Cricetulus griseus: one gene and its partners. The protein of the gene in region 2 interacts with the protein of the main gene of each other region in a pairwise test. Links are inferred from orthologs where the notes say so. Each region holds a gene or a part of one and is shown on either strand. Other genes may lie near its edges.

Evidence for each region.
Region 1: the proteins of Mipol1 (region 2) and Ttc12 interact in binary tests that used the Homo sapiens proteins (3 or more experiments, as listed by UniProt). The two-hybrid records come from large-scale screens. The link is inferred for Cricetulus griseus from reciprocal best matches to the Homo sapiens genes MIPOL1 and TTC12.
Region 3: the proteins of Mipol1 (region 2) and Fam161a interact in binary tests that used the Homo sapiens proteins (3 or more experiments, as listed by UniProt). The two-hybrid records come from large-scale screens. The link is inferred for Cricetulus griseus from reciprocal best matches to the Homo sapiens genes MIPOL1 and FAM161A.
Region 4: the proteins of Mipol1 (region 2) and Utp25 interact in binary tests that used the Homo sapiens proteins (3 or more experiments, as listed by UniProt). The link is inferred for Cricetulus griseus from reciprocal best matches to the Homo sapiens genes MIPOL1 and UTP25.
Region 5: the proteins of Mipol1 (region 2) and Cct3 interact in binary tests that used the Homo sapiens proteins (3 or more experiments, as listed by UniProt). The two-hybrid records come from large-scale screens. The link is inferred for Cricetulus griseus from reciprocal best matches to the Homo sapiens genes MIPOL1 and CCT3.
Region 6: the proteins of Mipol1 (region 2) and Zgpat interact in binary tests that used the Homo sapiens proteins (3 or more experiments, as listed by UniProt). The two-hybrid records come from large-scale screens. The link is inferred for Cricetulus griseus from reciprocal best matches to the Homo sapiens genes MIPOL1 and ZGPAT.

The regions. Positions count from the first base shown.
Region 1 is NC_048597.1:161,237,938-161,242,815, forward strand, and holds part of Ttc12 (tetratricopeptide repeat protein 12), read right to left. Parts: intron 4,575-4,878; coding exon of another isoform or gene 4,517-4,574; intron 4,411-4,516; coding exon of another isoform or gene 4,391-4,410; coding exon 4,330-4,390; intron 3,883-4,329; coding exon 3,694-3,882; intron 2,606-3,693; coding exon 2,536-2,605; intron 1,609-2,535; coding exon 1,520-1,608; intron 1-1,519. UniProt on the Homo sapiens protein: Cytoplasmic protein that plays a role in the proper assembly of dynein arm complexes in motile cilia in both respiratory cells and sperm flagella.
Region 2 is NC_048598.1:145,200,302-145,205,951, reverse strand, and holds the start of Mipol1 (mirror-image polydactyly gene 1 protein), read left to right. Parts: upstream 1-2,263; 5' UTR 2,264-2,432; intron 2,433-5,650.
Region 3 is NW_023276807.1:83,736,995-83,741,872, forward strand, and holds part of Fam161a (protein FAM161A), read right to left. Parts: intron 2,574-4,878; coding exon 2,419-2,573; intron 1,593-2,418; coding exon 1,469-1,592; 3' UTR 1-1,468. UniProt on the Homo sapiens protein: Involved in ciliogenesis.
Region 4 is NC_048598.1:2,116,678-2,121,555, reverse strand, and holds part of Utp25 (digestive organ expansion factor homolog), read right to left. Parts: intron 3,685-4,878; coding exon 3,441-3,684; 3' UTR 1-3,440. UniProt on the Homo sapiens protein: Component of the ribosomal small subunit processome for the biogenesis of ribosomes, functions in pre-ribosomal RNA (pre-rRNA) processing. Essential for embryonic development in part through the regulation of p53 pathway.
Region 5 is NW_023276806.1:66,172,835-66,177,455, forward strand, and holds the end of Cct3 (T-complex protein 1 subunit gamma), read right to left. Parts: intron 2,396-4,621; coding exon 2,150-2,395; intron 1,925-2,149; coding exon 1,793-1,924; intron 1,480-1,792; coding exon 1,375-1,479; 3' UTR 1,155-1,374; downstream 1-1,154. UniProt on the Homo sapiens protein: Component of the chaperonin-containing T-complex (TRiC), a molecular chaperone complex that assists the folding of actin, tubulin and other proteins upon ATP hydrolysis.
Region 6 is NC_048599.1:539,394-544,777, forward strand, and holds the start of Zgpat (zinc finger CCCH-type with G patch domain-containing protein), read right to left. Parts: upstream 3,810-5,384; 5' UTR 3,534-3,809; coding exon 2,953-3,533; intron 1-2,952. Other genes in the region: Arfrp1 (ADP-ribosylation factor-related protein 1), read left to right, coding at 4,487-4,579, 4,868-4,955, 5,144-5,226. UniProt on the Homo sapiens protein: Transcription repressor that specifically binds the 5'-GGAG[GA]A[GA]A-3' consensus sequence. Represses transcription by recruiting the chromatin multiprotein complex NuRD to target promoters.

The DNA of each region.
Region 1 (4,878 bases), on a different chromosome or scaffold from region 2:
TCATGAGCCGGAAACACAGAATATGTGGGTGACAATATTTTTCAGATATTAAAACAGCATAATTCCAAGGCTCACAGAAACAAAAATATCTGGGTTATTATGCTTGATTCATAGAGAAAACACAGCCACCAAGTTCTTCCTTTGTTACCTTCCTTTAGGAATCTTGGCAGACACAGCCCTGAGCAAGGATGTTTGTGTGTGTATGTACGTGTGTGTGTGTGTGTGTGTGTGTGTGTGTGTGTGTGTGTGTGTATGTGTGTGTGTGTGTGTGTATGTACGTGTGTGTGTGTGTATGTATGTGTGTGTGCATATGGATGGAAGCCAGAGGACACCTCACATGTCATCCTCAGATATCATTCAAGGCTCTACTTTTCTTCTCCTTCCCCTTGTCTTCCTCCTCCTCCTCCTCCTCCTCCTCCTCCTCCTTTTTTTTTTAATTAGGGACTTACTGACCTGGAAATCATCAAATAGACCAGGGTGGCTGTCCTTCAAGCCCTGGGGATCTACCTGTCTCCACATTACTGGCATGCCACCACACCTATTTTTGTTTTTCTGTTGTTGTTAATCTGGTTTCTGAGACAAACTGAGATGCTTGGCTGTACCGATTGCTCGCTTCCAGTAACTGAGCTTCCTGATAGGCCTGTTTCCTACAGCCTACTTCAAGTTCTCAGTCCTTCAGCCTACTAAAGGAAAGGAGATGACTTCCTCATACTCCTTGCATGCCCCACCCTGTGATTGTCCTCATTTCTAGTGTTTCCTGTCCCAAGAGCAAACATATTCCTGTGAAATACATTTCTTTGAGATGACAGGGAAAACTTAAAATCTTGATACACACAGAAGCCATAAAGGTGACTAAGAAAGATTGTGCAAGAACTTAATGATCTCTGGAGGATGCTGTATGAAGAAAGGTAAGAATTGACAAAACAAAATCCCTCTGGCACTTTTCTATTTCAGTAACAGACGCTAATCAGTGTCCAAAGATGCTGGCTGCTAGTCATCTGCCAGGGGTGCAATGGTCAGCAAAACCAAAGTATTTTCAAACAGACAGAAAAGGAAACTGTCTCCATTGCTCATGACATGAGCAGAAGTCATGAGTCTGCAGAGAAGGGAGAGGAAGGGAGAGGCATGGGTATGTGGGGGGAGCACTCATTATGCTGACAGTGATCTTGCCCACTCTCTACCCCCGTGTCCTGAGGCAAGGGAGGACAATGAGAAGAAGGAGAAAGATGAATAGGAAGAGGAGAAGAAATAGGAGGAGGGGGAACAGGAAGAGGAGGATAAGGTTTGGGCTGGGGAATGAATTCAATATAGAACTTGAAGTTGCTTTTTTTTTTTTTTTTTTTTTTTTTTTTTTTTTTTTTTTTTTTTTTTTTCCACATACTTTTGGGGAGGAAAAGGCATGGAATTCAGACACCAGTCCTTCCATGCCTGACCACTCAGGAGAACTACCATGCTGAGCCATGCAGCTCTTTCTTCTGGGGAACACAACTGACAATGGACAGTGAAGAACCAGGCTTACCATTGTCACTACACACTGCTTGCCAGAGCTTCAAAACAGCCACACAGAGAACCTCTTCAACTGCATCCATCCCTGCTGAGAAGAGGCACCTGGAGAAGACAGGTTGAGCAGTGCAGAATCTGGGGATCAATCTTGTTTTCTTTGCACTGGGTTCCACCCCCAGACTCAGCAAATGAAGAGTTAAGAGAAATTTTAAAATGCATATCCAAACTGGACACGGTGGTACACACCTTTAATTCCACCACCCATTAGGCAGAGGCAGGTGGGTCTCTGTGAGTTCAAAGCCAGGGTGGTCTACATAGAGAGTGGCCAGTCAGGGATACACAGTGAGATCTCTCAAAAGAAAGAAAAGAAAGAAAAGGAAAGAAGGAAAGAGAGAAAGGAAGGAAGGAAGGAAGATATGTCTTATCCATAGGTAACCACCACTAAGGAGCTACCCATCACTGATTCCAAAATTCCAGATCAAATGCAAAGTAAAAACACAGAGGTGGGTACACAGAAGAGGGTGGACAGCCAAGGGCCATCGTGATGAGCGGACATGCAAACATCCAACCCATGTCAGGATCCCAAACCTCCTGGATTATCCAAGCACAATATGAAATAAACACAGCACACCACCCCCTTCCATGTAGGCCTTGTTTTAGATAAAATTCTAAATGGAGCCAGCCAGGACCCAGTTGCTTCTACTTTTTTAAATGGCCAGTAAAATGAGAAAAAGAACAAACTAAAATTTAAAAATGCTGGTGGGGAACCAGTAGGAGTGGTGTTTGTCTGTCTGGGACATATGGAGATGGCCTGTGGGACAGGCTCACTCTGTCAGCTGCAACATGATGCAAAAGGCCAGAGGCTCTGATCTCAAGGGGGTTCACATACGCTCTTTCAGGGGTTACCCTGATGACTGAGGAGCAAGGACACAGAGTCCAAAGGCCTTCCCTCTGTGGCCAGTAACTGCTTTCACACACACACAACTCTCTGTCTTTTCTTGTAGACATCTGGCTCTTTCCAAATATCCTTACTTTCTTATGACCTCGTGGTCACTGATGGTGCTGAATCCACCATATGTTCTGAACAAGGTCCGTTCTGTGCCTGAAAAAAAAAAACAAAACAAAACAAAAAAAAAAAACACAAGAACTGAGTCAGGATCCTAACCCACAGGTTGGCATCTAGCTGATCACCAGATCCTAGTATGAAAGGGCAAGATCATCAAAAATCTAGCTAGATCATCACACTCTGAGAAATGCAATTGCTACCAGCCACTGGATATGTCACCATCAGAGAGACTGCTTAGAAAATGTCAGTATCTCAGTTCATTCCTCTGCAAGCTTTCGAGAGCTTACAGGAGCTGTTTGATCCCTGGAAAGTATTGGAGAGCCATCTGATTCTCCATGTTTATATTGAAGCTATTATTGGGCTCTGGAGAAGAACTTACATTTTCTAAGAAAGCGGCCAACGGGGCCATCTGGGCTACCTCTGTTCCATACTAATGGGGGACCAGAGCCTCCATCCATTTGTACAAATGACATCCTGTCACTGAGCAACCAAAGTTGTTTTAAGTTCTGCCATCAGTGTTTACAGGAACCGATAACAGAGTGACAGATATTTCCTCCGAAGCTATTTTCATGTTCCAAGACACTGTAAAGTGCAGCTGGGGTGATCCCTATAGTTTATCATAGACATTTCTTCTGTTTCTACGTGGTGTAGGGTGTGTGCAAGGTCTAGGATGTTAGAGTGGATGTGGGGATGGAAGCAAGATGTGTGGAACACATGTGAGGGAAGTTTATAGAGTAAGTACACGGATTTACTTAATGTATATATTTGCATAAATGTAAATAAACACATGCCGTGTGTGTGTGTGTGTGTGTGTGTGTGTGTGTGTGTGTGTGTGTGTGTGTGTGTGGTACATGTAATATAAGCACACATGGAGCTGTTGTACACCATGTGTGCTATCTTATGCCATGTGTGTGGTGTTCATCGCATGAGTTAATGCATTCTCTGAAGAGGATGGGGTACAGGGGAAGTATATTTCTTCCATACCCTCTTGGGCACCTATATTAGTGTAGATTTTCATTTGATATCTATAGAAGGGAGGGGATCTTTGTCCCATGGAGCCAGATTCCTGAACCCGTGACTTCACACGGACAATGCTCATGAGACCACACACATGTCTGACTTACAGTCCGTCATCATTTCTGTCAGGATCTCAATGCCTCCTGCATAGAACAAGGGTGTCTGGTCAGGCTTGGAGAGGGTCTCCAGGAGATTTTTAGTTGTCATTGCTGTGTTCTTTCCTGAATCCAGGGACTCTCGAGCTTCCTTCTCTTGTAGATCTGCCTTTTCTTGAAGAGTTACTTGATTTAGGGATTCTAGCAAAACAAGCAGGAAAAAGCGAAATGAAGCAACAGCCTAACAATGGAAAGAACCATACAAAAGCCACCCACCTTCCACATCTCCCTGCCCTTACACATTCCTTCCTTTCTTCCTTGCAAGGATGGGAAGTATAAAGCAAGAAAATAATTCAGACTCTTCTTCAGGAAGAAGTCGTTTAGGAGCAAAGTAAAATCTAAACCACGTCTTAAGACATCCTGGAAATTTGGGGCAGTCTGCAAGTCTATGGGAGGATGGCATGCAAGAAAAGACATGGAGCAGTCTAAATATGGAAACAGATGGAGGATGAGCATAGGGAGGGCTGGGCAGTGCAGGAAAGGCAAGGCTGTGGTCTTGACCAGGGCAGAGAAAGTAGGGAGGGCACCCCAGTGGAGTGCAAAGGAAAACTGGATTTAGAGGGATTGTAGCAGCAGGGACAGTCTCACCTTTCACCTGTGTCTGAAGCTTGGGGTTTATCTCTCCGATCTTCTGATAACACTCTCTAGACTGAGAAACAGAAACAAGACCTTGAAAGGTGGTCAGGGGGTAACTGTGATTATAGGCCAGATGTGGGGCATCCCAGGGCTTGCTTCCTTCATTATCCTTTCTTATCTTTCCCCCTGCTCCCAGCACAGGAGGTGGCCAGGGAGAACAGTGAGCTTTTGATATTTTTGCTTGGGCTTCTCAGGTTCTGTGACACTACAGGTACTGTTGCAAAAATTCATTTTAAAAACCTGTTTGTTAAGCACAAACTGTGATGTCTACTACCCAGTCTTGAATTATTATTTTTTTTTGTGTGGCTCATGTCTGCCAAAAGTAAGAATAATCATAATGTATATGCTAAACTTAGATTTGATATTTGCACTAGAGACTATCAGTTTTACCCAGGGGAGTCAGGAACTCAGCAAAACTGGAGACTGTGTTGACTGAGACCCAGGAATAGAAGAGAGCAGGCTGCAAAATCAGCCAGCGAGGAAGCTAATCACTGGCCACTT
Region 2 (5,650 bases):
TACATCTGGATCCGCAGGCAGTAGGAAGAGACATTGGGCCAGGCTTGAGCTTTTGAAACCCCAAAGCCCACCCCTAACGATACTCTTCCTCCAGCAAGGCCTCATCTCCTAATCCCTCTCAAGCAGTGCCACTCTCTAATGACCAAGCATTCAAATATATGAGCCTACAGGGTCCATTCTTACTCAAGCCACTATATAATGTATCAGTCATTTTCATCAGGTACAACAAATACATCATAGTAAGAAACATCTTAATAATACATGAAGCTTAAGGAAAGAAGGCATCATGAGAACTCTGTACAATCTGTTCAAGTTTCTGTAAGCTTAAAATTGCTTCCAAAAGCCTAGAGCATAGCATGGTGGTGCATTCCTGGACACTTACCTCCTGGAAGGCTGAGGCAGAAGGAAAGTGTTTAAGTCCAGCCTGGACTACACAGTGAGAGCTTGCGTTAAAATAAAAAGTCCGGTGCAAAGAGAAGCCCCCCCCCCCCTTTTTTTGATGAGGGGTGGAATCTGCACTTTACTGTGGGTATAAGGATAAGGATTTAGAATGTAGTTAGGAATCATGCTGATTCAGTGAAATGGAAGTAGAAGGTTCTCCTCTTAGATCCATGGCCTCAGTAGCTCTGGGAAGCTGGGCAGGTTTCTAGTACCATGCATGACGCTAGAACAGTGGGAGATCCAATGAGGAAAACTCCAGGCATGGAAGGAAGTCAGCTCATAATAGAGGCCACATGTGTTATAGGCAGTAGAGCTGGGACCCATAGGGAGCCCAGAAAATTTCACCCATTGAATGTAGAGCTTCGAGATTTTGTGTCTGCTGTCCCGAATTTCAGTGTTGCTTTGGCATGATTTTCCCTTGCTATCTTATTCTCTTTGGAACACTACTGTATACTGGAAGTATATAATTTGATTTCTCATTTTACAGGGGCTTGTGATTAAGAAGTTTGTTTCACTTTTTTGGGGGTGGTGGTGGTGGGAACTGTGTATTTGCTATGTATCCCAGGCTGTCCTCAAATTTATGATCATTCTTCAAAGGTTTAGGATTACAGAGGTGCACCACCATAACCATATTTTTAATTATACTTTATGTCCATTAAAATCTGATTCAACTCTGAGTAATGTAAAGCAATAAATAAATAAAATTAAAAATTCACTTTAAGGTCGAATGTCACAAGCCACTTCAGAGAACTAGTCATTGGTTACATAAAAAATGAAACTGTTTTTTAATATTATACTCTATTTACTCCAAATAATTTAACTAAGTTCTCTCATCCATTTTCCAAACTTCACACCCTTTTGGCACTTACTAGTAAGTTCCTTTCACTATCTTTGTCCATCATGACTTTGGTGGTCATCATGACTTTATTCTCTCTCTCTCTCTCTCTCTCTCTGTGTGTGTGTGTGTGTGGGTGTGGGTGTGGGTGTGTGTGTGTGCGTGCGCAGAAATTACTATTATTGATAACATTAGTGCTAATATTATTATTCCAGCATCCAAGAGTACAAAAGAGTACTTGGCACATAGTAAATACTCAGAGTACTAAGTAATGTAAATTAAAGTGACTTTAAAGCTCAATACTAAAGTGCCAGTGTTAAGTGGCCTGTAGTTCCAGTAACTAGGTAACTTGGCTAAGGTGGGAGGCAGGTGTTTCTCTCTCTCTCTCTCTCTCTCTCTCTCTCTCTCTCTCTCTCTCTCTCTCTCTCTCTCTCTCTCTCTCTCTCTCTCTCGGGAAATACTTGGTTCATTACCAGTTATATCAGTTCAGATAAAATTCCACGTTACCCCTAGAGTCCACAATAAACCATATCCTCTGCGTTCAGGTTTTTCTTTTAAATTCCGAGATTGAGCATTTTGAGCATGCACATAGTCTAGCATACACTCTCTGTAGTCCTGAAGTGAAAACAGAAACTGCCAAGAGCTTTAAAGCTTGTCTGAGGCGTTCTTTGGCCCGCTTGGAGGTCTCCCTCGGGCTCCCGTCGCAGCACCCTTCCTCGCGTCCCGCAAACCACATCCACTGAAGGGAACCGCAGTTTCTGCCCAGTGAAGATCGCCCGCGCACCCCACGTTTCCCCTCCTCTCGCCGCACAAGAGTTCGTCTGGACCGTAGTCCTCTACTCCCATGGAACGACCTGGGGCCACACTATTCCCCAGCTCCCCTCAGCACTCCCCGCGGCCCCAGCTCGCCGGAAGCCCCGCCCCAAGATCGCCAGCGGGCTCGCGCATGCCCGGTGCGCGCCGCGGCCGCAGCCGCAGCCTCGTCCCCGTGGGCCCGGCGGCGCGCCCGGCCTTGTCCGCCCCGCCCCGCCCCCTTCGGTCACTCAGGGGCGCGCGCGTAGCGGGCGCGCGGCGATTGGCTCCCTCGGTGGCAGCGCCCCAGGCCGGAGAAACTGCGTGAGCGGAGTGGGCGCCGAGGGGTCCCGCGGCTCCTCAGGTACCGGCGTGGACCCGGAGGGTTGGGGGAGGGGAGGGAAGCTCAGGGTGGGCTGTAGCCGGCTCGGGACTTCCGGCCGCGGTCCCCGGAGAGGCAGGAGGGCTGCGCGGGGTTGGCCCGGAGCGTGCGGGCCACCCTCGAGGGCCCGCGTCGCGGTGTTCTCAGGTGACACAGTGCTCCTTCTCCTCGGGTTTCAGCACAGCCTTAAAAGTTAAGAGGCTGAACATGGATTCAAAAGTGTGGGTTTTTATCCCTGCTAAATCTTGGCAAGAGTTCGGGTTTCAGTCCCCGCTGGAGGACTGAAGCGATTTATAGTTCTCACCCTTGAAAGTGCGAGCAAAACTCCAGTGTTGCTCAACACGCGCGGAGCCGGCTGTAGTAGGATGCGAATGGAAGCAAACTCTGGTTTCAAGAGCCGGCTTTTCTAACTGGAGGATGATACCACCCAATGGTATTGGTGAAGTATTTGAAGCTCTATGGAAGGACCTGGGTAAACTTCAAATATCGCAGGATAGACGAGGGTGATAAAAAAAGAAAACACCTTTTCTATAAGAACAGGTCTTTGGGTGGACTCCTTCGAGCATTTTTATGTGAGTCAGTTCCCAATGGTCCTGGACAGAGCTAGGGAAGGATTGCTTTAACCTACGAGTTTCACAAGTAACTCGCTTTGCAAAGTGTGTTCTGTCTGCAAAGGATCTCACCCAAAACAACAGTTGCATAGTAATCATTCCATAGGCTGGCATCCTGTGCGTATTTGCCAGAAATTGCCTCCATCAGATTGTTCTATAGGCATGTCTGTGGACATTTTCTTGATTAATTTGATTATTGATTGGTTTGGGAGGGCCCAGATCACTTTGGGTGGTATGGCCTTTGGGCAGATGGTCCTCAGTTGTATAAGAAAGGAAGCAATGCAAACCATGGAGAGCAAGCCAGTAAGCAGGATTACTCCCTGGTCTGTGCTTCAGTTCCTGCTTCCAGGTTCCAGTCTTGAGTTCCTTTGGGAGGTTCCTTGGGTGGTGGAAAGCCCCCCACCCACTTTCAGAAACAAAACTATATTACATCCTATGTTAGTATGCCAGTAAAATTAGGCTTGCTTTTTAAAAGTAAGATAATATGAATTGTTTCATTAGATAAAAGTAAGGATGGCAAAAAAATATGAATAGGAGATAGACACATTTTTTTCTTCAAAGACAGAGTATGAAATAAAATCTTTGTGTGATAACTTTAAAATGTTTAAGTCATGTGTAAAACTCATTGTATTTTCATGCTGTATACTCTTTTATCTAGTACCAAGATCAAAAAAAGAACATGATAAGGGACAGAGGAAATCGATCATCGGGTTAAGAGCGCAGGCCCTGGCTTGATTCCCAGCATCTACATGGTGCACCAAGCATCTATAACTGTAGTCCCAAGAAATCTGATGCCTTCTGCCCTCTTAGCATGCTTGTATGCACTGTGTATGCTTGCCGTGCCAAGACATACATGTAGTCAAAATACCAACATACATAAAATAGAAGGTTACATTTTTTTTTTAAAACAGCATAATAGTATTTACATCCCAGAAAAACCCACTGGTGCCCTCTTTCTAATAGTAATCATTGGATTTGAGTTTACTTACATAGGAATCCAAGGGACTGAAACCATTACAGCCTAATGGCCCCCTGGTTAATTATTTTGGCTGAGTACTTGGACTGGATTTGTGCTGTGGGCTGTAGTTTGCCAACCCCTGCTGAATTAAAAAATGACTGCTCAGTACCAGTACAGCTTTTCCCTGTCTATTATCTCAGTTAGCATATACAGCGGACACCTTATGTTTTTAGGTGGTGAATTTAATACATATTAGAAGTATGTTGAGGCAACATTTAGGGATAGTCAAGCAGTGTGATAATGAAAACTTCTTTGATTGTTAAGCAAACACAGATTTAAGATAGGCCATGCCTTCTGACACAATACATTGAGTTTATATACACACTTTTAAAATAAATTCTAATGGGATATTTGTTTGTTAGCCAACAATAAGTAACAAATGCACTACTTACTAAATTCAGAAAAAAATTAGTGAAAGAAATGGCTCTTTGTGAGCATTTAAAGAACAGGACTACATTTTAGTTCTCTCTCTCTCTCTTTAAAAAAAAAAATTTAAACAGGGCCTCCTGTCTTCTAGGCAGGCCTCAAACTAGCTAAGTAGTTGAGGATGTCCTTAGGTTTTGAGTCTGATGTTTCTGACTCTGGAGAGTTGTATGCTGGTGTTACAGATGTGCACTACATGCCTGGAGTGTTTTGTTGTTGTTGCTCTTGCTGGCCCTGAACTCTTGGCTTCAAACCATCTTCCTGCCTTAGCCTACCAAGTAGCTGAGACTACAGCTATGGGCCGCTTCACTTAACTCGTTTACTTTAATATGTTTGGGAATAATTAATTTTATGTCCTGAGATACTAAATTTAATCATAGCTATATACCCCATTTTTTTCTTGGGTTATGGTTTTTGTTATTGTTTTGTTTTTTTAGCTCTAATCTGGCAACATAAATTACTACTTTAAAGGGGTGGCTCATTTGTTGCTTCACTCAAATGGGTGACTAATGGGACAAATTTGCCATAGAACTGTTTTTTGGTAGTTAATTAGAGCAACCCTGGTTCTGATTTTGCTAAAATTGAAAGTATTCTTTTGAATTTTTTCTATTTTGAATATATGCAGGTAGGTGGTATATTCTTGTAAGTTTAGTTTTGCATTAGATGACTTGTATATACACATTGAGATTGATTTCATTATGCTTGGATTTATAAATTTTACAGGGTTCATTTCCTTGCAGTCTATAACTTGAATGTTATTGTTTCTTTCTGAAACATGACAATATCTCTTCTTTGATTTCTTTTTTTGACAGTCTCTATTTAGTCCTTGACTGTCTTGCAAGTTGCTCTGTAGATCAGGCTGGCCTTGAACTCAGAGACCTCCTCCTGCCTGTGCTTTCCAAGTGCTGGGATCAAAGGCATGTACCATTACACAGGGTTTCTTTGTAGTTTTATCTTAAGGATTTTGCTAATGAATTTTTAAAAATAAGAAATTGATAGTACTTAAAAAAACTTTATTGTGAAATATAATGTATATAGAGATAAATAATATAAAACATATGGACATTTTTGAGCAAATGAATAATCATTAAAACTTGTTACTAATTTGTGTGTATGGCCATTTACAAAGCATGTCTGTACATTAATAT
Region 3 (4,878 bases), on a different chromosome or scaffold from region 2:
GGAAATGTTTCTAAACCCATTTGTACACACTCGGAAGTAACTGTAACTATAATTGAAAGCCATTCATCCACTCATTCAAATCTGCATTAAGGCGTCTGCCATATGTACAAGCCTGCATTAACAGCTAATGGCATTACAAATGTGACACTTTTCAAATGATGCCACCTCTAAAGGACATAGCAATCTAATAAGAGTGGCAAGTAATTTAACCTGAACCCCAGCTGAGTGCACACCTTGCTAAGCACAGAGAAGTGGCTGGGAGACGCTGTCACCCGCCTTTGTTATTAGTTCTTTGTAAAGCCGATTGTTAGACAGGCGATGTCTTACCCTGTAGCACAATTAAAGATTAGTTTGAATTTTCAAAAAAAAAAATGTGCTTAAAGAGTGAAAGATGACTCAAGATCAAATTAAATCTTAACAGAGACAGTAAGTTTGTAACACAGCATACAAAGGAAGGTACAAGTAAGTTAGCAATAAAGATTAAACTTGAATTACTTTTAGGATTTTCCTTTGGCAAGTTAGGATCACAATTTCAGCATGTTTAGAACAAGGACTTGTATCTTTTAATTAAGATTACCACACAAAATGAGTAGTGGTGGTGCACATCTTTAATCCCAGCTCTCAGGAGAGAGAAGCAGGTGGACCGGTGGTGAGTTCCAGGACAGCCAGGTCTACACAGAGAAACCTTGCCTCAAAAAAACAAAACAAAATAAAACAAAAACAAACAAACAAAAAAAAACAAAAACAACCAAACAAGCAAAAAGATTACCATGCACAAATGCCATAATTACTCTAGATGCAATAATACGTAGGATTTTTAGAGTAGTGTAAAGTATTTTAACACTTTAGCTATCAAAAATAATTTGGGGGATTAGGGATATAGCGCAATGGTAGAATTCATGCAAGTATGTGTGAGCCCTGGATTTAATCTCCACCAAAAAAAAAAAAAAAAAAAAAAAAAAAAAGGTTAAAAAAAAAAGTAGCCATACTATAGATAATTTAGCAGTAAATTTTAAGTGGAAAAATTGTAAATTTCCAAGTACCTATTTTTTCTGTATATTACTTATTTTAAAAATGTTTCAGAGAAAAGTTGAAAATACTTATTAAATTAAAAATAGATCTTCAAAAGCTAATAGTTCTCTCCATACCAAACTCTTTTCCCTACCAAATATAAGTGTACATTATCAGAACTAATCCATTTATGACAGCTGTGGTTCTCCAACCCCCAAAACACTTTGAAAATACAAAATAATCATTATCATAAACAGCACACATAGGGTAAAGCTGTACTTTAGCAATCAGATCACCCATTATGTGGATTCAGCCTTTTCCAACATGATGTTCCGGTCCAGCAGCCCTGCATGTGTGAGAGTTGTCCCCACACATGCTCTGGTCACCACAGTGCAGGGCTGCAGTCCTGAGGCTGCACACAGAGAGGCTCAGTGAGAGGAAACCTTGCAATTCAGGTTCATTCTTCAGAATTTTCTTCTCTACCTTCTTTAACCTCTTCAGTGTTTTCCTTGCAAGAATCCTGGCTGTTGGCATCAATAAAATAGTTTTCTTCCTCATTCTCTCCTTCTTCTTCATAAGAGCTAAAGGAAGAAATGTTATTAATCTGTCAATGTACATGCACATGGCTCTGTGTGACCATGCCACCATGTAGGTGGTGCTCCTCCAGGCCACACGCTCCGACAGCTACTAGGAGAACTATGGAAGCACCCGTGGGGAATTAAGTATTCCCTGACAACCAATTTATCTTGAAACTTGACTCCTATTTCTTTCTTTCTTTGGGTTTTGGAGACAGGCTTTCTTTGTGTAGCCCTGGCTGACCTGGAATTGGCTTTGTAGACCAGGCTGGCCTCAAACTCACAGAGATCCACCTGCCTCTGCCTCCCCAGTGCTGAGATTAAAGGTCTGTGCCACTGACTGGTGAGTCCTCATATTTCAATCTAAAGCAGCTCCCCCAACTATAACCATATACATAGTACATACATATATACACACACATATGTGTATACATACATATATATATATATATATATATCAGAAATATAAGCTTGATGTAAGAACAAAATGTTTTTTGTTCTTTTTTTTTTTTCTTTTTTTTTTTTTTTTTTTTTTTTTTTTTGGTTTTTCAAGACAGGGTTTCTCTGTGGCTTTGGAGGCTGTCCTGGAACTAGCTCTTGTAGACCAGGCTGGTCTCGAACTCACAGAGATCCGCCTGCCTCTGCCTCCCAAGTGTTGGGATTAAAGGCGTGCGCCACCACCGCCCGGCAAATGTTTTATCACTGTGTAACATTTATAGTGTGTCAAACATGGGGAAACACTAGAATATTTCACAGGTTCACATGCACTCCCTCAAGTAAATGGTTTTAAAACAACAGGAAAGCGCAGAGCATGCTTCCCTGCAGCTGCTACCTTTCTTTATCCGATGTGCGGCTTCTCAGCTCTTCTCTGGTGAAGCTCTCAGGCGCCTTTCCACCTTGGCCTTTCTCTGAAACAAACTCCTCAGACAGTCCTAGAGCTTCTAGAGTGTTAGAATAGCGCTTTTCTGCTGCCATCCTTGCATTTCTCTATAGGAGACACAAACCTTTTCAGATGAGCGCAAACACTGCAAATTTCTATTAAGATGTATGGATTTAAAGGCACCACTGAAAACTATGATGACAGACTCAGCGACTGAAATATGCTTCTTCTATGACTGACATGTTTAGGCATGGACCAGGAGAGGACAGGTACAAGAATGCTCAAGGCAGTATTGTCTGTAATAACTGAGCATTGTGAGCATCCCAAAGCCTGGCAACATTTGGAGGGGTGAGTAAGCTATACTACAGTCACAAATAGAAAAATGAATAAACCAGTCAGTCAGCTGCCACAACATGGCATGGCAGATAACTTACAAATGTGACACTGAGCAAAAGGAACCCTCGGAAGAACACAAAAGAATGTATTTAACATACTAGATATATTTACAGAAACAGGAAAAACTGAAAACAAAGCAACGCTGATCCCAGGTTAGAGGTGATGACCCCTAGAGGAGGTGGCTGCATAAAGATACCTCCAGAAAAGATCAATAAGGAAAGAGAGTTATGGGCCACACGCGATGTGGTCCCAGGATGCAGGAGGCATAGGCTGGAAGAGGCTTAACACAATTTCAAGGCTAGCCTGGCCTACACAATGAGTTCCAGACCAGCCAGCCAGGATATACAGCAAGACCTATCTAAAAAGCAAGCAAACAAAGGTCACATGTCTGCTTCAGTTTGGAATGTAGGACAGCATGGTAGTGGCTGTGTGGCTCTTTTATGCATCCAGTGTAGTTCTGTGTTTATGTGCCACGATTTCAGACCATCAGATATAAAATCATCAATACTGCTATCTTTACTGGATGGAAGAAAAAAAGGGATAGTTAAAGTTGAGTTCAAATATCTTGAATGTCACTTCTTGGAGGTCCACAGGAATTTCAATGATCCTTCCACAGTTGCAGCTAATTGAGGGCTAGGATGCAGTTCATTGGTAGAGAAGCATTTATATAGACATGCTTGGGGCTCTAGGTTAATTCCCTAGTTCCAAGAAAAACCAAACCAATGAAAAAAAAAACCCAAACCTAAAAAAACAAAAGCCTTCAATCCTAGCGCAAATGGCCTGGCCACCAAGCCAGGGAGGGCCACACAGTAAGATCCTGTCTGGAAAAGCAAGGCACAGTTGTCACAAGTTGAAAGTCAGTCCTGAGCCCATAGACTTCAAGCAGCTAGCTACTTGGTGACAAGGTGCTCAGTGTTGGTTTGAGCCCAGTCTTAGCTCCTCTGAGCAGATCTTACAGGACATCTGTGGCCAGGAATTCCCTTTGCACCTGCACCTAAAGCAAGGTTCTTGAGGAACAGACCAGTTCTGGGGAACAAAAGCACCACATATTCGGAATGTTACAGTGCCCATCAACGCCCAAGAAAACAGGAAACCACAGTTGCTCAATCTAGAATTCTGTAGGAGAAGCCAAAATAGCAAAGATCAATTGTGAGGGATATTATCATGCCTTCCAAATACTCTGGGAGACTGAAAAAGACACATAGTTTCAAACTTTTGTTAATTTCACCACTGTCAGTGACAATAGTTTTTAAACAGTGCAAGTGTGACAGAGTCTCACTGTGTAGTACTGGCTTTTCTGGTCCTATGTAGACCAGGCTAGCTTCAAACTCAGAGATTGATCTGCCTCAGTGCCCACCCCCCAAGTGCTAGGATTAAAGGAATGTACCACGGTATTTGACTAACCAAATCCACAAGCTCTAGGTTCACTGAAAACCTTTGTCTCAAAATTCACCTCTGGTGTACACATACGAACACTCGCACGCACGCACAAGTGTAAATGTGCCCAGAGGCTGTAGAACACCAACAAGTCTTGGTGAACTAAAAACCAAGCGAGAAATGAGAACTGTGCTCCAGAGACTACGGAAGTGAACAAAGCAAGCTGAAACAACTCCGATGCACTGAGGACACCATGGGTTAGGCATGGATACAGTGCTAGTCTAATCCACAGGAAGTCTGGGATCTAATCCCAACACCATGTAAGCCAGGAGCGGTAACACAATCTGCAATCTCAGCACCCAGAAGGCGGCAGTGGATCAGAAGTCCAAGGTTGTCCTTGGCTTCATAGTGAGTATGAGGCCAGTCTCGGCTACATGAGACCTGCCTCAAAATAAGACTGACTTTCAACTTGGGGCAACTCTACCTTATTTTTTTTTAAGACAAGATCTTGCTATAAATACCACCCCCCCCAAAGTAAAGATAACAGTATTGATGATTTTATCTTTGATGGTCTGATACCATGGCATATAAAGACTTAGAACTATCTGGATGGTGGTGGCGCATGCCTTTGACCTCAGC
Region 4 (4,878 bases), about 140 Mb from region 2:
CAAGACCTTGGGTTTAATACCAGCACTAGAGAAAAAAAAAAATCAACCCAACAAAAACCCAGAAATAAATGGGGGGGGGGGGACACACACTTGCACACAGTGTGCCAGGCGCTATCCAATCCCAATACCAGGAGACTCGGACAAATGAGCATCCCCAGCCTTCAAGCTGACCTTGAACAAAGGCCAAGAAGACTGACCTGTGGACAGACAGACCAGCTGTGAGGCCAGGAAAACTCACCCTGCATGACCCGCTGGGGAGAGGAAGAGTTCAGTGAGGATGGAGATGGCTGGATGCTCTAGTTGGCCTTGCTCAGCTGGGAAAGCAGATGGGCTGCTCGTGAACAGCTCCCCAGTCAGACATCAGCAGACAGCCTTCCTGCCACATGTGGGCTGAGGCCATGTGCCCGAATGGTCATAGCCAAATGCGCAAAGGCTGTCAGGGCACCCCTGAACTGTGGGCCTCTGGGAGAGCAGGCTAGCAGGTTGCTAGGGGACAGCCAGGTTGAGCTTGTGGCATTCAGAGCCTCCACAGTACAGGGCGCCATCCACTTCTGAGACTGAGTTCTGTTCTCTTACATGGTCCTAAGTCTCATAGGAATGGCAGCAGTGTGGCCAGAGGCATAGGGGACATTAAACACAAAGGAGGGGGCGGGGCAGGAAGGCTAGAGGCCTTGGACCCTGGGGGATGTACCCTGAAAAGCATGGCTTCCAAAGTATTCTTTCCGGAAACGCCCAGCACCTCACACTCATCTACAGCTCACACATCCAGACTCTTGGGATGGCTGTAAAGAACGTCCCAGTCCTGCTGTCTTTCCCTAGGTCTTTTGCCATCTTGAGACCCTGGGCACATCAAACCTAAACTTGGGCTGTCTGAAGACAGATCCCAGGAAGGCCCAGCAGAAGGCAGTCAGCAAGCATAGGCGACACCTCTCAGCATCCTGTCTCCTCACTCCACAAGGGCACAATCAGGGATCAAAGCTTCTGGAACCACCTTGGTCCTCTGAGGTATGTATGAGTCACCAGCGACATGCACCCCCCATCCTGCCTGGGCCATCTGCACTCAATTACCAGCCCTCTGGAAGCTGGCAGAGGGCTGATTCTCTGCTGCAGGCACTCTGTGATTAGCTTGTTCTTGTTTCCAATGCTGCACATAGTGCAGCCAGCTGTGAGCAGCGGTCACGATTCAAAGCCTTTTCCCTCAAAAAGAAAAGTGCCACAGTAGCTGTGACCGCTGTGTGGAGTCTAAAAGTCTCACTTTCTGGGTAAGTCCCTGCCTTCCTGGGCCTGGGATCACTCCAGACTCTGGGCTGCAAAGAAGCCAGCCTAAGAACTATAAGACCTCCCTACTAGGAGCAGGAGACATCTCTAGCCAGGAGGCTGAGGCAGGAGGATCACAAATTTGAGGATATCATGGGCAAGAGTGAGCAGACAACACGTGATGTGCACGGTAGGTTCTAGTGTGCATCACGAGGCTGCTGTCTGAGGGCCACGCCCCCTTGCTGTAATGTCATCTCTTACATTAAACTCACCAACTCTCTGCAGGCCATGCACTCTTAGGCAGTTGCAATTCGTCCTGTGAGCTGTTCACAAGAACTGTACTGTGTGGAAACAGACCTGAGGAATCATGGTTTTCAACAAAGCAACAAACTCATTTCCCTTCTCATAATAAATGGTGAATGCGGCAAACAGTGGCACACAGATGCCAATAACCACAGGGCAGATCTGTGCATCCAGAAGTGTGTGTTTGCTTGGGATTAGTTGGCTTTTATCTATCATTTATATATCCTGGAATTTAGAATTCAATCTGGAATAACTGGCTTTGCTTACCATGCTGAGAAGTCAAAATGCCTATTTTTGCATAACAGCTGCCCCAAATTATATCACTTAAATCTTTTTTTAAAAAACTCTCTCTGGTCCTCAGGCACTTAAAGCCCAAGTGCTTTTATCTGCCAAGACACTACTGCTTTAAGAAATGTACTTTATGTATGAGTATAAGAGAATATATACCAATTGTGGCTTGTCTCCAAGAACAAGGGGGAATCACTGAGAAAGGGGGTCAGAAAGAACCCTGCAGCATACACTGTAAATAGAAATACTAATTTAAACTCAGTTTCTAACGTGTGGGTAAGAAGTAATATTCAGTGTTTGTGTGCTCACATATGCACCCACATACCCACATTCAGCAAACATTCCCAAGCTCTGATGGCAGAGCCTGGGGCTGGCAGGAAGGGTCAGCCAGCTAACCCAGCACTCAGCTGCAGAGCTGCTGGGTCTGTTAATCCTCACTAAAGAGGCAGAGGCAGTAGGGTTATGAGTTGAGGCCAGCCTGGGCTACTTGTCAAAGCCAAGGCTGCCCTAAGTTTCATAGCAAGATCCTTTCTCAAAAATCGAAAGGCTGGGACTTGTTTGATTCCCAAGCACTGCAAATCAATCAACCAACCAACCAATCAATCAAAACCACAAGACAAACAAAACTCTCAACCAACACTCTTGATGACAACAAACAGCCAAACTTGTAGTGGCACTTGGGAGGTCAAGGAAGGAAGATTTAAGACTTCAAGGTCAGGTCTTCCTGAGCAATCTGGAAGGGGGCCAGAACAAAGGCTAGGACAAGTGGTAAGGCTGCAGCGGAGTCAGACAGTCTGCTCACTTGAAGCCATGCTGAGAACAAGACTCGCTCACACGAGCACACCCATGAGGTCGGCAGTCAACTTCCCAGCAACTCAGACTCGGTCTCACAACTCTGTCACCTGAAGCAATGGTCGTCCCTGATGGTTCTGTTTGCAATAGTGTTTGTTTTTATAACAAAGTCTAAAATAATGGTGTTTAATGTTTCAAAGCATGATTTTCTTTTCACTTTCATCTGCTACACGACTCAAAAACCAGCTAAAGAGACAGTGGTGCCGAGAACAAGCATCAACTGTACAACTAAATGTTGCTTTATAACTTGACTGTAAATGTGTTAGCCATTAAAACACTGTGAGGAATTTAAAAAGATCCGTGAATGAATGTACTCTTTTAGGTTAGAGTGTTTATAATTTTTTTTTTTTTTAGTTTGGCTGCAAAAGCAAAGTTCCACAAGACATGTGCCAAGTCGTCTCCAACTATCTTGGCAAACCTCACAAACAACACAACCAATGCTTTAAGAAAATGGATAGGCCAGCCAGAGAATCTTCCCCGTGTAAAAAGTTATGAAGAGTAACTGGAGAACTTACAGCTTACAGGTTTGACAAGCACAGGCTTCATTTCTGAATGTGACAGCCCGTGCAGATTGCTCTAGGCTTTGGCAGCTGTGGTCACTGACACTGGTTGTAATGTACTTTCCAGGGGACTGCCTGTGTCTGTGCAGAGTTTGCTCCTAGGGAAGTGATGAGAATCAGGTCTGCGTGGCCTATCGACCATATTGACCAATGACGCCGCCTGTCCTGCTCCTCACTTTCTCATCTCTCTCCGGTGATGAAAAGGTGGACGTTCTTTGGAGACTGCAGCATCTGTGCTGCCCGCTCGACACCGACCACAGAGGCAAGCCTCTGGGCATCGTATTTGGAATAGAGCACAGTGCAGGTCCATGTGGCCTCCTCTCCTCTCCTCGCGGCACTCAGCATATTGCAGACCTCGCTGTAGAAGTGAGGGTAGGTTGGCAGTTCATAGAATATCAGGTTCCTGATGCCTTTTATTGTGTACCTGTGAGAGAGGGAGGGGCATGAAGCAGCCAGCGGAGCTGTGCTGCTAATGGCTCCAAAGGGAGATGGCTAGATGCCTGGGGTGAAAATAAGAGCACAAACCAAGCACAGGAAGCTACCCTAGAGCCAAAGGGTTTTTGTGATAACGTTACTGAATTCCTAATGCTGAGTTTAAGATAATGGTAACAAAAATTTGTATTTTTTGGGAAAAAAATATATATATATATATATATTGAGACAGGGTTTCACTATGTAGCTCTTTTGTTTATTATTTCAAGACAAGGTCTGCCCTGGCTGTCCTGGAACTCGCTAGTAGATCAGGCTGGCCTCAAACTTGTAGAGAACCACCTGCCTGTGCCAGTACTAAAGACTGCAACGTGATGCCTGGCCCAACCTTTAATAGTTATTATTTATTTTCATGGGACAGAATATCACTTTGTAACCCTGGTTGGCCTGGAATTTGTGGTGTAGGCCAGGTGGCTTCATCTTTCTTTTGTTTGTTTGTTTTTTGAGACAGGGTTTCTCTATGTACCTTTGTAAACCAGGTTGGCCTCAAACTCAGAGATCTGCCTGCTTCTGCCTCCCAAGTATTGGGATTAAAGGCGTGTGCCACCACCACCCAGCCAGGGTGGCCTCATCTTAGAGAAATGTACCTGCCTTCCAAGTGCTGGTGTTAGTCACAATATCTGACCTTTTACAAACAATTTTTAGACTACATTGTCTTTCTCTCTCTCTCATGTGCTTTGTGGCATGTATGTAGAGGTCAGCAAACAACTTGAGTGTTGATCTCTTTCTCCCACGTGGGCCTTGGGGATTGAACTGAAGTGATCAGAGTTGGTGAAGCAGCCTTTACTTCCTGAGCCATCTCACTGGCCCAACTGATTCTCTTTAATCTTGACCCCCAGCACACAGGATCTCACGGAACTAGGCTGGCCTCAAACTCATTATGTAGCTGAGGCTGGCCTGGAACTCTCTCACCTGTACTTCCTAAGTGCAACCATCACAAAGTGCCAGCTAATCTCAGTGTTTGTACTCATCATGGTTTTCTTTTAACCTCTATCTCCACCTTCTGAACATGGAATAAATAGCCTCAGAAATGGGAAAACCAAAGAAAGCAAGAGAAGCATGGTCACATTCTTTGTTTCAATCTGCTTGTAAGAGAGACTAGGAACTTCCTAGAGACATCAAGACGAGC
Region 5 (4,621 bases), on a different chromosome or scaffold from region 2:
GTGTGCATTCCACATGTGTGGGTGTATCTGAGGAGATTATAAGAGGGACTTGGGTCTCCTGGAGCTGGAGTTAGCTATGAGCCACCCAATGTAGGAACTGAACTTGCTTCCTCTGGGAGAGCTGCAAGCTCTTACCCACTGAGACAGGGCATTACTCTATAGTCCAGACTGGCCTTAGACCCCAAAGAATCCTGTGGTAGCAAGTCTTTCTCTGTACCACTAGCTCCCAAATAAAGACAAGGAAACTTATTATGAAAGCTTGGCCTTACTTTAGGCTTGTCCCACTCCTGTAATTTAAATTAACCCATTCATTTTAATCTACATTCTGTTGTGTGGCTCATTTCTCCATGTTGCTCATATTGCTTTTTCTGCATTTGGCTCATGATCCAGTCTTCTTCTGAGACCTCTGTCCCCAGAAGCACTAACCCCACCACCAATTTCTTCCTGCCTAGCTATTGGCCCATCCAGCTCTTCATTAAACTAATCAGTGATACATCTTCACAGTGTTAAGGAATATTCCACAACATTCTGTCTCACCTTCCTGAATGCTGGGACTTTTAAATTAGTGTGCTGTCTGTGAATGCAGGTGGACCTGGAGGTCAATGGACGACTTCTGGGAACCACTTCTCTCCTTCCACCCACTATGGTAATCTTACTGGCTAAGCAGATTTTGTCTCAGAGACAAGTGCAGCACAGGCTGGTCTCATACTTGCTCTGTAGCTGTGATGGTTAGTGTGGATAATCAACCTTACAGGATTTGGAATGAACTGGGAGGCAAGCCTCAAGGCACATATGCTTAGGAAAACACACTCAGCCAGGCAGTGGTGGCTCATGTTTTTGATCCCAGCACTTGAGAGACACAGGTAGGCAGATTTGTGAGTTCAAGGCCAGTCTGGTTTACAGCGTGAGTTCCAGGACACCCAGGTCTGTTACACAGAGAAACCCTGTCTCAAAAAAACCCAAGCAACATCTCCCCACCCCACAAAAAAAAAAAAAAAAAAAAAAAAAAAGAAAGAAAGAAAAGAAAAAAAGTGATCCCAATTTGTCTCCTTTGCTCCCAGTAAGGTTTTCTTCTGCCTCCTCTTGCATTGCTAGGAGGTAGAGATGTGCCTCAAGATTGAAAAAAAAAAACAAAAAAACACATGACAACTGTCTCAAATGACTTAGATTTAATCATTGGAAGCAAACTAAATGGAAAGCTTACAATAGAGAAGAGATACATGTCAGTGCTTTTTGCAAACTGAGATGGGACAGACTGGGGCTGCCCCTCAACTTGATCCTTTGCAAACAAAGATGTCCACAGTGTTCCTGGAACTCTGGCTCAGGAAAGGGGAGACTGCTGGTTCTGCACGTTGAAGTCACCTTGCTCACCACTCACTCCTGGCCACCATCTGGAGCACTGCTTTGCCGGCTCTGGTCATCACCTTTCTTCTTGTGGCCAGAGACAATGTCATCAATCCGCAGAAGTAGAACTGCAGTCTAAGAGAAAAACAGCCCAAAGAGGTCAGCAGAGAAAGGAAAGACACTGTTTTCTTCTAGCAGTAGCTCCTCCCGCAGAATTACCATTTTATCTGGAATCTTCCCTTTCAGAGTCTTGAATGAACAAAGCAGTCCTCCCTAAGCAAGGGATGTAGCTTGTGCCTTGTATACTGTTTTAGGTAAACTAAAGGTAAGTAGGGAAATGGAATTCCTTGGGAGATCTTTGGGGCCTTTAATGGCCTCTCCCTTTCAGACAAAGCACAGTAGCCGTGTTGTCAGGACAGACAGCATCCGCACACTTAGGGTGTCTTACCTCCACTGCTGTTTTGTATGTTTGTAGCTTCACAGCCAACGGCTCCCATATTCCCAGCTCTTTCATGTCCACCAAGGTACCAGTCTCACCATTCACACCCCAGGTCTCACAATTCTCCTGGGTGTGCTTGGCCTGCAGGTGAACAAACATGCAAGGAAAGTACAATGAAGCAAGCCAGTTTCAGACCAGCAAACAAGGCAAAGACTCAAAGATGGCCCCCACACAACCCACACCCACGTTGAGTACAAACACATGTGCTTATAAGCATACACAGAGTGGCAGAAAACAAAAACATCTCCTTATGCCAAACACAGCTTGCCTTACCTTGGCAAAGCATGAACATAGAAAAGAACTCACCCGAAGGGAGGTAAGCAGACGAATGGTACTCGCCCCACAGTTCTGGATCAAGGTACGAGGGATGACCTCTAAAGCTTGGGCCACAGCTCTATATGGCCATTGTTCCACACCAGTCATGGCCTTAGATTTTTCTGTCAAGGCATGGGCCACAGCCATCTCCGAGGCTCCACCACCAGGCACCAACTGAGGGTCCAGGAGAACGTTTCGGCACACTTGCATGGCATCCTGGAGGTTGCGTTCTACTTCCTAGGGGAAGCAGAGAAATGGTATAGTTGGTTCAATGAGTCATGGAGAAACCAAGAGGCATCAAACAATTTCCCGAGTGACAAGTTGTTTTTTATTTTTTGAGACAGGGTTTCTCTGTGCAGTTTTGGAGACTGTCCTGGCACCTGCCGTGTCGATCAGGCTGGCCTTGAACTCACAGATCTGTCTGCTTCTGCCTCCTGAGTGTTGGGATTAATGGTGTGCGCCACCACTGCCCAGCTGACAAGTTTTTAGAGAGCCACAGAGGAAGGCAACTAGGAAAATCCTTGTGACTTCTATTGGGGTCAGGTGGTGGTGGTGGTGGACGCCTTTAATTCCAGCACTTAGGAGGCAGACAGATCTGTGAGTTCGAGGCCAGCCTGGTCTACAAAGTTACACAGAGAAACCCTGTCACTAAAACCCAAAAAAGGGTAAGAGAAAGAGAAGAAGTTTTGTTCTCATGAGTCATAACTCAGAAATGTAAATGACAGAAGAGGGCCTGCAAGAGGATTAGGGGATGGAACATCTCAACTATGAGGTTGGGTTTTTATGTACTGAACCAGAGTGACAACAAATTGTATCCCATCCCCCTCTCCCTAGTTTTGTCCTTTAGGAGATTCAACGGTGCACTGCAAACTGTCTAGTGCTTACCAGCTATGTATCTTGGGAAAGCCACTCCTCCTGGGAGTAGGCATGGGTTGTAATTTCAACTTAATAATTAAAGGTGGGGAGGGGGCTACAGACATGCCTTTGTGGCTCACGGGTCTTGCCAACAAGCCTGACCACCTAAGTTTGATTCCTGGGCCCATATGGTAGATAGAGGGAGAGAACACCCACAAATTGTCCTCTACTTCTATACTAGTGCCATGAAATATGCCCAAGTATATAACACAGAAGAAAGGGAGAGAAGAGCACTAATGCTGAGTTTGTCTCACTTCTGTTAATAGTACTATGGAGGCCAAGGCAGGGTTGCCACAAGTATGAGTCCACACTGAGCTACAAAAGGAGATCCTGACATGCTCGTGCTCTCGTTTCTCTCTCCTCCCCCTCCCATCCTTCTCTCAAGCACTAGGAATGTAGCTCAGTTGGTAGAATGCTAGTTTACCAGGTATAAAGCACCCTTAGTATGATATAAACAATGTGGCAAAACAGGCCTATAATCCTTTCACCAAAAGGAAAGCTGGAGGGCCAGAAAGTCAGGCATCCTTAGCTACACAGCAAGTTCAAGGCCAGCTAAGAGACAACCCCTAGTGGTAAGGGTAGGAATTTATGGTCACAGATCCATGAAGTAGCAATTTTTTGTTTGCTGACAGGGCCTATGTTGCCCTTGCTATCATAGAATTCAGTAAGTAGACCTTGAACAAACCCACAGAGATCCACATGTTTCTGTTTCCTGAGTGCTGTAATGAAAGGAACGTATCACTACAGCCATTTGTCATTAATTTTGTTCTTTTATTTCTAAGATTTGCTTATTTTTTGTGTGTGTCCATATGAGTTTATCCGTTTGGTGCCCTTGGAAGCCAGACAACACCCTGTTGCTCTCTAAGTGGTCTCAACCCCCGAGCCTCTCTCCAGCTCATTTTGTCTTATTTGAGACAGGTTCTCACTACACAATCTGGTCTACAGAGTTCCAGGATAGCTAGAGCTGTTATACAGAGAAGCCCTTCTTGAAAAATAAAACACAAAACAAAAACAAACAAAAAAAGATGAGGCTGGCCTCATACTCTGTATGTAGAAGGAGCGAGTCATCCTTCTGATCCGCCACCATGCCTGGTTTATGAGGTGCTAGGGCCTGAACTGTACCTACCTAATGTTCTCTTAACCTCACCATCAAGGGAGTGGTTCTGCACCTTCACACATTCACAGACATGTAGCCACAGGCCAAGGATCATGGATTGAAATAAAAAACAAAACAAAACAAAACAAAAACAAAAAACAAAAAACTGCTAAAACATTTTTTCTTTCGTTCTTAAGATTTATTTATTATGTATACAGTATTCTGTCTGCATTTATCCCTGCAGGCCAGAAGAGGGCACCAGATCTCATTACAGATGGTTGTGAGCCACCATGTGGTTGCTGGGAATTGAACCCAGGTCCTCTGGAAGAGCAGTTAGTGCTCTTAACCTCTGAGGCATCTCTCCAGCCCCCAACATTTTTTTTTTCTTTTAAAGTTGACATATTAAGCTTGCTACTGTGACGAAAAGCTCACAATACGAGTATGGAACAATG
Region 6 (5,384 bases), on a different chromosome or scaffold from region 2:
GTGCTTTCTCTGCCTCTCTTAGCTAGCAGGTTTCCACCCCAGCATCTGACTCCTAAGTCTTTGTTGATAAAATAGAATTATAGAGGGCTAGCTAAAAACAACATGCCTCCTGATAAATGACTTGCTTCTAGTCTTCCTGATGGGGTTAGAACACAGTTTGAGTAAGTGATGTGATCTGGTTGCTAACAGACTGGAACCACAGCAACAAATGTGGTCCTTTAGCATATATGCTGACTGATGAGTCAAGGGGGCTGATTCTTCAATAAGGACGGAGTAAGGGCAGGAAAGACCTAGAGAAGTGTGTACATGGTTAGATTCAGATACAATCAGGGTTAGAAAATGGACAGTATTGAACTATGATTTCTACATCACGGTGACACTTGAGACATAAGCTACAGAAACACAAGAAGCACTTGTTATAAAAAGTTTTGAATCCCAGCATTGGGAGGCAGAAATGATCTCTGAGTTTGAGGCCAGGTCTACAAAGTGAGTTCCTGGACATCAGGGCTACAGAGAAACTCTGGCTCAAAAAACAAAAACAAAACAACAAAAAGCCAAACACCAACAACTCCCACCCCCTACCCCCCCACACACAAAAAAAGTTGTTTTGTCTGTTGGAGAGAGATTGTTTGGGGCTTAAATAAAAGGCAAAAAAAAAAAAAAAATCTACCTGAGTTGATGCTTGTTAGGGAATCTGGGGTGGCTGGCAAATAACAGCTGTGATCTGAGTTTGACAGCTACAGTTCACTTTATAACAGTTCTCTATACTATAGTTCCTATATCTGAATTTATTTTACAACACATAGTAAATAAGTCCACCTGTGCCACTTCAGGGTAGGTCCAACGTCTGCATTTTATTCCCACTTGCTAGGGACACTTCTCACTTGTTTTGTAGAAGAGAGGAGGAAGATGGAGATTAGTATTAGCAAATGTGGGAAAATAATCAACTAACTATTGAGATGCTGTTGCCCAAATACAAGTGTCTACAGGGAAGATTATACACTGGAAAGACATACACCAAAGTTATGGTAATGCAGGTGGAGTTAGTTAAATTTATTTTTAAGAATCTAAAGCAAGCTGGGCATTGGTGGTGCACGCCTTTAATCCCAGCACTCAGGAGGCAGAGGCAGGTGGATCTCTGTGAGCTCGAGGTCAGCCTGGTCTCTAGAGCAAGTGCCAGGATAGGCTCCAAAGCTACATAGAGAAACCCTGTCTCGAAAAACAAAAACAAAACAAAACAAAACAAAAAAAATCTAAAGCAAATTCAAGAAAACAACTCATTCATCCTGGATGGTTGTAAAGATGGTGTTAGATGTTTTATTGTCTTTTAGTTCTGCCCTAAAATTGATACCACAAGCAGCTCCTTGTGATGAAGTGGTCTCACGGCCAGCAACATTGTACCGATCACTTAGTGCTTTGGTGTCTGTCTCTCCATCTATAAAGTGGGGTGGGGACTGACAAATGGTTTGACAAGTAAAGGTACCTTCTGCCAAGCTTGATGACCTGAATTCAATCCCCAGGGCCCACATGGTTGAAGGAGCCTACACTCAAAAGCTGTCTTTTGACCTACACATGAGCACCATGGCACATGCATATATACATACAAAATAAAATAAAACAAAAATTATATAAAATGGGATGAGTTCAGGGCCTACCCATAGGTTCGTGCACAGAGAAGTGAGCATATGTCAGTCAGAGAAAGTACTTAGAGGTATTAAATCTCTCATCACAGGGCTTCCCACAAAAAGACTATGGCAGATAAAGCAGCCACTGGTTATAGCAACATGTGTATTCTTGGAGAAAACCCACTGAGCACACTGATCATTTATGCACCTATAGGCATGAGAAGGAAAGAGAGTGAGCAAGGAACATGTCAAGTCTACTAGGATCTAAAAAAGATGTGCAGAGCCAAGCTAGGTAGCACATGCTTGTAATCCTGGCCCTAGGGAGGTAGAAGCAGAAAGATGAAGAATTTAAAGTCATCCTTGGCTATATATGGATTTCAAGGCCAGCTTAAAGCTACATGAGATCCCATGTTAAAGAAAAAGTAAAGAAATAAAATGTGCAGAGTACAGATGTAACCATGGAAGTAAGAGCTTAAAGTGATGTAAGAGAACCACAAACCAAGGAATATAGGTGGTCTCTGGAGGTTGGAGAGATGGCTCAGTGGTTAAGAGTATGTGTAATGTTTTTGAGGAAGACCCAAGTAGTTCACTACCAGTAGTCCTGAAGCTCCTGCTTCAGGAGATCCAACACCTTCTTTTAGCCTCCTCATGCACCTGTACTCAAGTACACATGTATTCACAAACACACACACATACACACAATTAAAAAGAAAAGTAAGTATATAGAGCTAGAGAAATGGCTTGGTGGTTGAGAGCATACTGCTCTTGCAGAGGACCTGAGTTTGTTTTCCAGGATCTATGTTGGGTGGCTCATAAGCACCTGGAACTCCAGCTGTAGAACATGCAACACCTTCTGGCACCTGTACTCATGTTCACATACCCACACAAATACACACAAAAATAAATCTTAGCTAGAAGTGGTGACACACGCCTTTAGTCCCAAGCACCTGGGAGGCAGAGCAGGTAGATCTCTGAGTTCAAGGCCAGACTGATCTACAGAGCGAGCTCCAGGACAGACAGGGCTACACAGTGAAACTCTGTATCCAAAAAAAGAGGGAGGGAGGGTGGGAGGTGGAGAGAGAGAGAGAGAGAGAGAGAGAGAGAGAGAGAGAGAGAGAGAGAGAGAGAGAGAGAGAGAGAATGAATATAATGTGTTTACTTATGTGTTTACTTAACAGGGAATGTTCCTGTTAAAGCCTGTCAGCCACCTGAAGCTCCCCCTTCTCTTTTATCAATTCTGCGGGGTGGAGAACAAGTTGTGAAGGCGGCAGGCCACAGCAGTGGTCCTGCTCGAGTGACCCTTATTGCTAGTAGCAGAGGGCTTTACCTGCAGTTCTCCTTGAAGCGGCATTTTCCCTCCAGGAAGAACGGGCAGGGCTTCAGGGACTTGTGGGTAGGGTACAGGTAGAGTACGCGAACGCATGCCGAACCATCCTCTGCCTCTTCAGTGCCCACAACCATTGCGTTGTGATACTCTAGCGTGCCCCAAGCGCTGTGGTAAGGGGCATTCACTTTAGCACCGCTCAGCTCCTCCTGATCTGGATCCTCCTCGTCTTCCTCCTGTGCAGGGGAGGTGGGTCCAGGCCGCACCACGCTCCCAGGGACAGTCTCCGAGTCATCCACGGGGGCGACGGGTGCCTCCCCTTCCTCCGCCACAGCCTTCTGGAAAGCCAAGTACTCAGCGTCCTCCTCTGCCTGGTGCTCCAGGTCCACTGTAGCCAGCAGCTTGCTCTTCCTGACCGACAACAGGCTGGCCTCGGTGAGCTCTATCAGTTCCTTCAGATCGCCCTGCAGCTGGCGCAGGTCCGCAAGCTCGGAAGCGTCCAGGCCAGCACCAAGAGCCAGCTCTACCTGCCCGAGCTGGGCCCGGTAGGTCTGCAGGGCCGTCTCCAGGTTGTCCTCGTCCATCGCTACACCGCGCAGGCTAGTTTCGGAACCGCTAAAGCAGACGAGACCTGAGGGAAGAGCAGTCGGCAGAGCTCAGGACAACGCCGCCCCCTCCCCGGCCGCTGGAGAGGCTGAGGAGGACCTCGGCGCTGCCAAGGGAACCGCAAAGTATCCCACCGCGTCCTCTGCGGTCCGCAGCCCCGCCTCCCGCCGGTGCTCGCAGCCTACAAGGGCTTCCGGCCTCGCCAGCAGAGCCCTCGCGCTAGCCTTCCGCCCGCCGCGGGCACTTCCGCCCGAGAGCTGATGCTGCCGGAAGTGCCCGCGTTCGGGAGCCTCCGGGATGGGGCGCGCGGGGGCCGTCGGGATGCGGCTCCGCCCTCTCGTACTCAGTCGGCCGGTCGGTGTCCCGACAGGCACCGCGCGGGGTCAACGCGAGGTCGGTGGGGTTTGCGACGCGACGACGGCGTCTGCGGCTCCGAGATCTGAGCAGGTGCAGGTGGGTCTCCGCCGGACTGAGGGGCCGGGGTTCCAGAATCCTGGGGTAGGGGGCAGGGAAGCGGCTTCGGCAGCTGGTTCTTTGGCTCCGTGGGCCCGGCAGCGGGGGGGGATCCAAAGGCGGCCCACTCAGAAGCTGACTCTCTGGTAGCTACGACAGTCGAAGTTCCCAGTGCTGAGTTGAGGGTCCGGAAAAGAAGCCTTAGGAGGGCGGAGCAGGGTAGGCCGCCATGGGTTTTTCAGGACTGATGGTGTATTCACAAAGATGACCCGCAGTGGGAGTAGTGGCCCAGGTTTAGCGGGTGGTCGGTGGTGGAGGCAGGGTCCGGAATCGGGGGCTGGGGAGAGGGGGGCAAGGAGTCGCGAGCCACGAGGCTCCACATTTGAAAACTAGCAGGACCGACGGACCACTGATGAAGCGGACAGGAGGCCGATAGCCCTGGTACACACCTTGACATTTCTCAGGGTGCCAGGGCAGGATGTACACGCTGCTTTCGGGGCTGTACAAGTACATGTTCCAGAAGGATGAATACTGCATCCTGATCCTAGGCCTGGACAATGCCGGGAAGACAGTAGGTGCCTGTTCTCTCACCAATTCCCTTTCCCTGCCTTATGTTCTTTGCAAATCTAATCCCTACCCAAGACTACAGGTTAGTTGCCACCAGCCTCCCGAAGAGCATTCAACAGGCAGAGGTTCGTGTGCATGTGTGTATGGGTGTGAAGGCCTGAAGTTGCCCAAACCATGTGGGTGTGAAAGCCTGAATTTGCCCAAAGCATATGGATGTGGAGGGATATTTAGAAAAGACACCAGGAAACTGCTTTAGCTGCCACTACCTAACCACCTTTCTTTCTTTCCTCAGACCTTCTTGGAACAATCAAAAACACGGTTTAACAAGAACTACAAAGGGATGAGTCTATCCAAAATCACCACTACCGTGGGCCTAAACAGTAAGGGGGATATGAGCTTGGGTCCCTTAGAGATGCAAGCCCGTACGTAGCCCAGCTGGCCAGGGGCCAGATCCCTCTCTGTGCATGCCTGCTGGGATTGGTACCAGAATGGTTTTCCTCATTCCAGGAAGAGCTGGGACTTTGTAAAGAGTAAGGTCAGGAGCTAGCTCATTCTATCCTCTCCCCAGTTGGCACTGTGGACGTGGGGAAGGCTCGTCTCATGTTCTGGGACTTAGGTGGACAAGAAGAACTACAGTCTTTGTGGGACAAGGTGAGACACACTATCTGCTCTGTACTGTATTTCTCTAGATAGCTCCTCTTAACCTCTTCTTCAATGAGAGTTCCATTTGTCTACATTTACCCTGAAGATAGATTTTTCTCTGTTTTTTTCTTTTTTTAATTACTTTTTATTGGGGGAGGGAGGCATGT